Linked DNA regions of Rattus norvegicus. The protein of the gene in region 1 purifies or fractionates together with the protein of each later gene. This does not show direct contact. Links are inferred from orthologs where the notes say so. Each region holds a gene or a part of one and is shown in the gene's direction. Other genes may lie near its edges.

Evidence for each region. Proteins that work in one complex are often made in the same cells at the same time.
Region 2: the proteins of Ccnd1 (region 1) and Pcna purify together in Homo sapiens (affinity purification with western blotting; 5 studies listed by BioGRID and IntAct, with this or other methods). This does not show direct contact. The link is inferred for Rattus norvegicus from reciprocal best matches to the Homo sapiens genes CCND1 and PCNA.

The regions. Positions count from the first base shown.
Region 1 is NC_086019.1:209,525,248-209,528,996, reverse strand, and holds the start of Ccnd1 (G1/S-specific cyclin-D1), read left to right. Parts: upstream 1-1,186; 5' UTR 1,187-1,311; coding exon 1,312-1,509; intron 1,510-2,900; coding exon 2,901-3,116; intron 3,117-3,655; coding exon 3,656-3,749. UniProt on the Homo sapiens protein: Regulatory component of the cyclin D1-CDK4 (DC) complex that phosphorylates and inhibits members of the retinoblastoma (RB) protein family including RB1 and regulates the cell-cycle during G(1)/S transition.
Region 2 is NC_086021.1:139,953,443-139,957,191, reverse strand, and holds the start of Pcna (proliferating cell nuclear antigen), read left to right. Parts: upstream 1-1,371; 5' UTR 1,372-1,433; coding exon 1,434-1,654; intron 1,655-2,460; coding exon 2,461-2,558; intron 2,559-2,703; coding exon 2,704-2,771; intron 2,772-3,004; coding exon 3,005-3,199; intron 3,200-3,749. UniProt on the Homo sapiens protein: Auxiliary protein of DNA polymerase delta and epsilon, is involved in the control of eukaryotic DNA replication by increasing the polymerase's processibility during elongation of the leading strand.

The DNA.
Region 1 (3,749 bases):
ATTCTGGTATCCACGAGTATCTATAGAATGTCTTTAAATATCACCTTATCGGCTCACACATTTATCTTGATTCTCACCAGTCCCCACCCCCAAACTCTGTAAGGCTGCCCCAGCTGCAATTCTAAAGGTGGGGGAACACAAAACACACCCCCAACGAAGCCAATCGGGAAGCTTCCGGTGGTCTGGTTCCTGGAAGGGCAACTAATACTTGCAGCGATTTACTTTTCTTAATTAAAAAATAAATTACACAAAGAGCCTATCGTGTCTCAACCTTTCCTTCAAAGATTTATTTTTCTCCGGCAGTGGAGGAGGGGGATACCAGAGGACCCTGGCCAGGATAAACCGGTCACTGTAAGAAGGCAAATCTCAGACCCCATCCCCACCCCCACCCCACCCCCAGCGAGGAGGAATAGATGAAGGAAATAATGGCCACCATCTTGAGCTGTTGCTGAGATTTTCGGGGTTTTATTTTATTTTATTTTTGAGCGAGTACATGCCAGGCTGGGGACCCTTTAAAGCTCAAAGATACCCCTCTGGCCCTTTGCAACCACCCCAGTGCGCCAGGAGGGAGCCTGCACGAGAACTTAGGGCTCGTCTGGCATCTTCGCCTGTTACACAGTTCCTGAATTTTACACGTGTTGATGAAATTGAAAGAAGTCGAGGACGACGGGATTTCTTAGCAATCGGTCCGCCCGTGGGTGCCCTCGTGGCGTCCTCGGAAACGCGCCCATTCTCTCCGCTTAAGTATAGGGTGTCCTTGCACCCCCCACGATCCCCTTCCATACATTCTTTCTTGGCTTGCGTGTGGCCTGGCCTCCCTCCTAGCTGTCCCCCTGTCCAGAGCCGCCGCTACCCCACCTTCACAGGTCTCGGAGGACCCACTTGGGGAAAGAAGCCCCCCTCCCCATTGCCCTTGCCCCGCTCTTTCCCAGCTTAGAGAGAAGCAGTCCCGGCGATTTGCATATCTACGAAGGCCGAGGGGGGAGGGGGCAGGCTTTGGGTTTGTCCCCCCCCACCCCCGCCGCTCACTGCTCCCGAGCCCCCTCCCCCTGCGCCCGCCTCGGCCCGCCCCCCCTCCTTTTTCTCTGCCCGGCTTTGATCTCTGCTTAACAACAGTAACGTCACTCGGACTACAGGGGAGTTTTGTTGAAGTTGCAAAGTCCTGCAGCCTCCAGAGGGCTGTTGGCGCAGTAGCAGAGAGCTGCAGACTCCGCGCGCTCCGGAGACCGGTCGTAGAGCGCGAGGCAGCGCGCGTCAGCAGCAGACACCGGAGCCCAACCCGGACCACAGCCCTCCCCAGGCGGCCGCGCCATGGAACACCAGCTCCTGTGCTGCGAAGTGGAGACCATCCGCCGCGCGTACCCTGACACCAATCTCCTCAACGACCGGGTGCTGCGAGCCATGCTTAAGACTGAGGAGACCTGCGCGCCCTCCGTTTCTTACTTCAAGTGCGTGCAGAGGGAGATTGTGCCATCCATGCGGAAAATCGTGGCCACCTGGATGCTAGAGGTGAGAAACTACAGGCTGCTAGCTTGGGACCCCCTGGCAACTTGTTGCTATCACCGACATCTTCTTCCCTTCTCTTCCTTTCCGTCACGGATTTTTCCCGGTGTGTTGCTAGGACTCGGGATTCACAAAATAAATAGACACTTTCGGGTCCTTTTGAACGGGAAAGGTTTAGGAGTTGGGGCGATAGGAATTTCTTTTCCTGGTGGGGGGGGGCAGTCGGGGAGGGGTGCCTTCCAGGGAGGACCGTGTCAGAGACACCACAGAGGATGCAGGCTGAGCTTCTTCTGTGGCCCCCGCTTGTGCCCCATTCCTGCAGCGCCTCAGCGGGGGCCGCCCCTGCGCGTAGCGCCAGCTAAGGGGGGAGGGGGCATAGATTTGATTTTTAAATTAATATCCATGGACACGTATGCAAGGGCCGCTCGTGCCAATATTATGCGCCATCTTTGCTCCTTTATTGCAAAGCAAAAGTGTTTATTAATAATTGGGGGCAGGGCGGAGAGTGGCAGAAGGGGCGCTGGGACGGGCACGAGGGGCCTCGTGGCGGCCGGGAGTCACTAAATAGGACACTGTGAGGAATATTTGGGGGTGGGAGACTCTTTGTTCAAACAACGGACCCCTGGGCACCCCGCACACGCTGCCTGGCCCAGAGAAAACGCTAGACTGCAAGGTCGCGTGGCCCCCTAGTCACCGAGATTGACTGTTGTCCGTGCGGGTCTGCATTTGGGGGAACCTGTCTGGGTCAAGCCGGGGGACCAAAGCACATTTTCAGTTGTTCAACAGGAGGCTCAAGGGTTCCAAAATATTTTAAAATAATTTTTAAAGTGAGTTATAATGCCCTTGCAGAGGCAAACAGCGCCCGCACCCAGCAAAAGGGGGGCCCCCGAAGTTTGAGTTGCTGGGACTTATCCCCCAATGTCCACCGAGCTCCTGACCCTCGGCTTGGATCAAGGGTAGCCCTATTGTTATTTTCAGGCCGTTTTTAGGCACCTAGTTATTTTTTAAATATTTTTAAATATTTTTTGAAAAGATGACGTCTGGGAAATGCAGCGCGGCGGCCTGGGACGCCACCTTTGTGTCTCGCGTGCGCTTGAGCGGTGCCCAGCCCCCGGCGCTCCGCCAACCCTACGGTGGGCTTCCCTGCCTTGTGGCTTCCTAATTTCAACGGGGACGGGGGTCTCCGTGGCCACCACTGCCTCGATCCGCCGCGCCAGCTGCCCAAGGACTTTCCCTTTCAGTTTCATGATGGGTGGGTACTGGGAACCCGCAGGGCTAGAGCGCATCCCCCGGAATTGGCCACCGGAATCCCTCTGTGCAATCTATAAAAAGGGTGCGGGGTCACATCGAGCGACACCCCCCTCCCCCGTTGACGGTCAGGGTCCGGGTTCCCGCAGGTCTGCGAGGAGCAGAAGTGCGAAGAGGAGGTCTTCCCGCTGGCCATGAACTACCTGGACCGTTTCTTGTCTCTGGAGCCCCTGAAGAAGAGCCGCCTGCAGCTTCTGGGGGCCACCTGCATGTTCGTGGCCTCTAAGATGAAGGAGACCATTCCCCTGACTGCCGAGAAGTTGTGCATCTACACTGACAACTCTATCCGCCCCGAGGAGTTGCTGGTAACTGCTTAACCCACCACCCGTAATCCTCCATTAGCTGCTCGATCCCTGAGTGGTGGGAGATTTAAGGGGCAGGAGGTCCAGCCATCCATGGACAAATCTCCTGCCCCATGGATGGCACCCACACTGCATGACACCGAAGTGGCAGTGGGCAGAGAATCCCAACCCCATTCTACCTCTGTGCCCGCCCCCTTTCCGGACTCCCCACCGAGTCTGCGGTGGAACAGCTCTGAACTGTAGGCGGTGTGCGCCCCCTAGCGACGCCCGGGCCGCAGCGCTGGCCGTGGGAGGTCTTTTTGTCCATAGCTTGTCTGTCCCTTCAGACTTTCTACAGGCACATTTTGTTGTTTACCTATATGGGGTCCCAGGATGTCCCCACTCTTTTTTTCTTTTTTTTTCCTTTTTTCTTTTTTTTCGGAGCTGGGGACCGAACCCAGGGCTACCTCTGAGCTAAATCCCCAACCCCCGGATGTCCCCACTCTTAAGACCTTCTTGAATCAGCCTGCCTTTCTTTTGACCGAGTTCCTCATTCTCTGCAGCAAATGGAACTGCTTCTGGTGAACAAGCTCAAATGGAACCTGGCCGCCATGACTCCCCACGATTTCATCGAACACTTCCTCTCCAAAATGCCAG
Region 2 (3,749 bases), on another chromosome or scaffold:
TGGAGACTCCTAACAGGCTGAGGCTATGGCTCAATGATAAGAGTTGTTATACAATGTCCTGCCTAAATCCCCAAGCCAGGAAAAGAAAAATCAAACAAGACAAGCTAAAGAGAAATGCTGTAAATAAGGGAAGAATAAATACACATGATATGTGGTTAATATTTTCATACGTAAACCATTCCTTTTTCCCCCTTCGTGTCAGTCTTGGTAGATAGTCCAAGCTGAGTTTAAATCTAGGCCCTCCCACCTCAGCCTTCCCATGTGCTGGAATTAGCTGTAAAACACTCTTACCAGCTAAAACAATCCTTTTAACTTTCTGAAATTTTATATGTCTTATTAGTAAAAAAAAAAATGCAAATAAATAAAACATCACACACCAAAAGTTGTGTCTACAGTTAGAAGAGGCATTCCAAATGGAAGCTGGAAGTTTTACACTTCCACTATCAAATATATTTTATCTACCACCAAAACCAAGAGAAAAAGCATTAGAAATAGAAATCATTTATATCCTTTTGTAAATGATGCCCATTACCTACATTCAGTTCTTCTCCATCCTCATAATCAATAGGAAAAAGAAGTTTTAGTAGAACAAAATGCTGCAGCCCAGGGACATATGAAAGACGCTTCACCTGCAACAGCTAATATTTTCAAGATGGGGCTCAGGCTTGGGTTCATCTTAAGCCTAAAACTAAGATGAAAATACTAATATCTACCTTTAAAAATATAAAAGAAACCAACCATACAGGAAACTAATTACGTGGTACACATGAACTATATATCTTTGCAGAAGCGTTCGCGTTAAGAGGCATTTTTTTTTTTAAATCTTTAGGGAGGAAAGTTCAGAGCGAAGCACCCAGGTAAGTGTTATGAAATTGGGGAGTGTTCAGATAAGATGGCCTCTTTATTACTCAATATTTTGCGGCATATTTTTTACGCAGTAGTAAAAGAAACGCACTCCACTGTGTTTGAAGGAACTACAGTCTCCCTCTTCAAGGCAGGCCGCCGCGCACTGCAAGTGGCTTTCATTTCCGTGGCGCAGAAACTTCCTAAGGAACATGGAAACCACAGCCTAAGCTCCCTCCAACACCGGCGGTGACGACAGCCTACGCGAACCCCGTGATGCCCCTCGCCTCCCACGCTCTTACCGCACAGCTCCGCCTCTGTATACGCGGCGGGGCGGGCCTTGCTCAAACCACGGATACGATTGGTTCTAGAGGAGAGGTGGGTGGGTCAGCGCTGTGACGCCACAACCTCGCGCACTGAAAGAGCGCGCGCCTAGGAAGCCGCGGCATTAGACGGTTGCGGGCGCAGGTGACTGGTTATCGTCCCTCCTGGTCTTCACGCTACTTCTGCATCGTGAGTCGGGGTACCTTGTCAGCAAGACCTCGCTCCCCTTACAGTAACTCTCATCTAGACGTCGCAACTCCGCCACCATGTTTGAGGCACGCCTGATCCAGGGCTCCATCCTGAAGAAGGTGCTGGAGGCCCTCAAAGACCTCATCAATGAGGCCTGCTGGGACATCAGTTCGGGCGGCGTGAACCTACAGAGCATGGATTCGTCTCACGTCTCCTTAGTGCAGCTTACTCTGCGCTCCGAAGGCTTCGACACATACCGCTGCGATCGCAACCTGGCCATGGGCGTGAACCTCACCAGGTGAGCGGGTGGCGGGAGCTGGGCCCCATCCCTCCCGCTTCGGCTCTTGGCGGGGCTGTGTTCCTGCACTCGCATTGGCTGGCATGGCCGTCCGCGCTTTCTGATTGGCCTGTGGTGCCGGGGACATCACCCACCAAAGCGCGCGGTTCCGAAAAGCCCGCGCTGGCTGTCGCGCCTACTTTTTTCCCGCGCCAAAGCCACAAAGCGGTAGTCAGCGGGAAAATGCGTGCTTCCGAGCTGCGCTCATTAAGTGCCTGCAGCTTTTTCTGGCCGATTTTAGCGCCTAATAAGCGAGTTCTGGTGAAAAAGGACTGTCGACTTAGAGTCTTAGAGTGACGATAGGCCTTTTCTTGACTTCTAGAATCTCACTGCGCGTCATGGATTTGCAGGAAAATCTCAGTTTTAGCTTTTAACTTTGCTACAACTACCTGTGTTAGTGCCTCCTGTATACATTTCAAGGACAATATGTGACTTATTTTGGTACAGATATATGGATTAGTGTCACTTGTATACATTTTGAAACATTTATGAAAAGGCCAGACGCGATAGGGCACACTCTCCAGTACGCTGAAAACCGAGGACACCCCACTAAAAAGGATGCGTTCTTGAATGTTGGCTTTTAGTGCATTTTACTAAATCGATTTTTAAGGATCACATATACCCGATAATTTGCTTAACCTCTGAGAGGGTTCGGGGTACCCTTATCCTCCCTAACAATTCTCCAATCATGAATGTGAAATATAAATTTAAAAATGTAAATGTGGAGACATGATGTTGATAAGCCCTGTGTCCTTTTTTTTTTCTAGCATGTCCAAAATTCTAAAATGTGCTGGTAATGAAGACATCATTACATTAAGGGCTGAAGATAATGCTGATACCTTAGCACTAGTATTTGAAGCACCAAGTAAGTTACACCCTTAAAACTCAGTTGCTACAGAAATTAAAGTGTGCTGTTTCTGTTTCTCACAATTAAAAACAACAGGGTTGTGGTAAATTTACAACATAGATATGAACATGTGCTTCAGTAACACTTGGATTTCTTTTGGTAGATCAAGAGAAAGTTTCAGACTATGAGATGAAGTTAATGGACTTAGACGTTGAGCAACTTGGAATCCCAGTAAGTATCTTGTTTCTGATGGTGTTTTACCAAGCTGTGATACCAGCTGATGCATGTTCTAAAGTGGAGTTGTGGTGTTTGCCATTTCACCAGACCACAACAGCCTAAACTTGATTGAGTTGTAAAGACATCAGAAGTCTTGTGTTCTGAGTTCTAGTTAAGGTGCTGAAACTTGAGAACATGAAGCTGAGTCTTCCTCTTTTCTAGACTGACCTTTAACCTTGCATTTACAGGAACAGGAGTACAGCTGCGTAGTAAAGATGCCATCTGGTGAATTTGCACGTATATGCCGGGACCTTAGCCATATTGGAGATGCTGTGGTGATCTCCTGTGCAAAGGACGGGGTGAAGTTTTCTGCGAGTGGGGAGCTTGGCAATGGGAACATTAAGTTGTCCCAGACAAGCAATGTTGATAAAGAAGAGGAAGCTGTAAGTAGCAAGAGGTGTCGTCCAGCTAACTGTGTCTGAAGCAGGATTGCCGGCTTAGCCATTAAGCCTTGACTTCTGTTTGTTTATTCATTCTTTCATTTTGAGATGGCATTCTGAGTAGACCAAGCTGGCTTGGAACTCAGATGATGCCACATAAGCTTTTACAGACAGGATTTGGAAAGCTAAGTGTACAACCTTTTGCTTCCTGGAAATACTCTTGACAAATCAGTGAGGATTAGCAAGTGAACGGAATGGTTGGGGGTGTAAAAGTCTTGGGATCATGTAGCTCCTCTAATAGCTTTTATGTGTTGTAGGTTCAGTTACTAGTTCATTTAATGGTGCAAAAGCAGACTGAGCAAAGTTAGGTTGTAATTTAGGCCTAGCTACAGGCAACAGGACTCAATACAATAATAAGAATATCCACAGTACCAAAGGAAATAAGACTTCATGCAACTCGGAAAGAGTTGCATTGAATACTCTGACATTTTATGTGCCTAGAGGAAGCTGGACATGGTGGCTCAAACCCATAACTGTGACACTCAAAGCAACA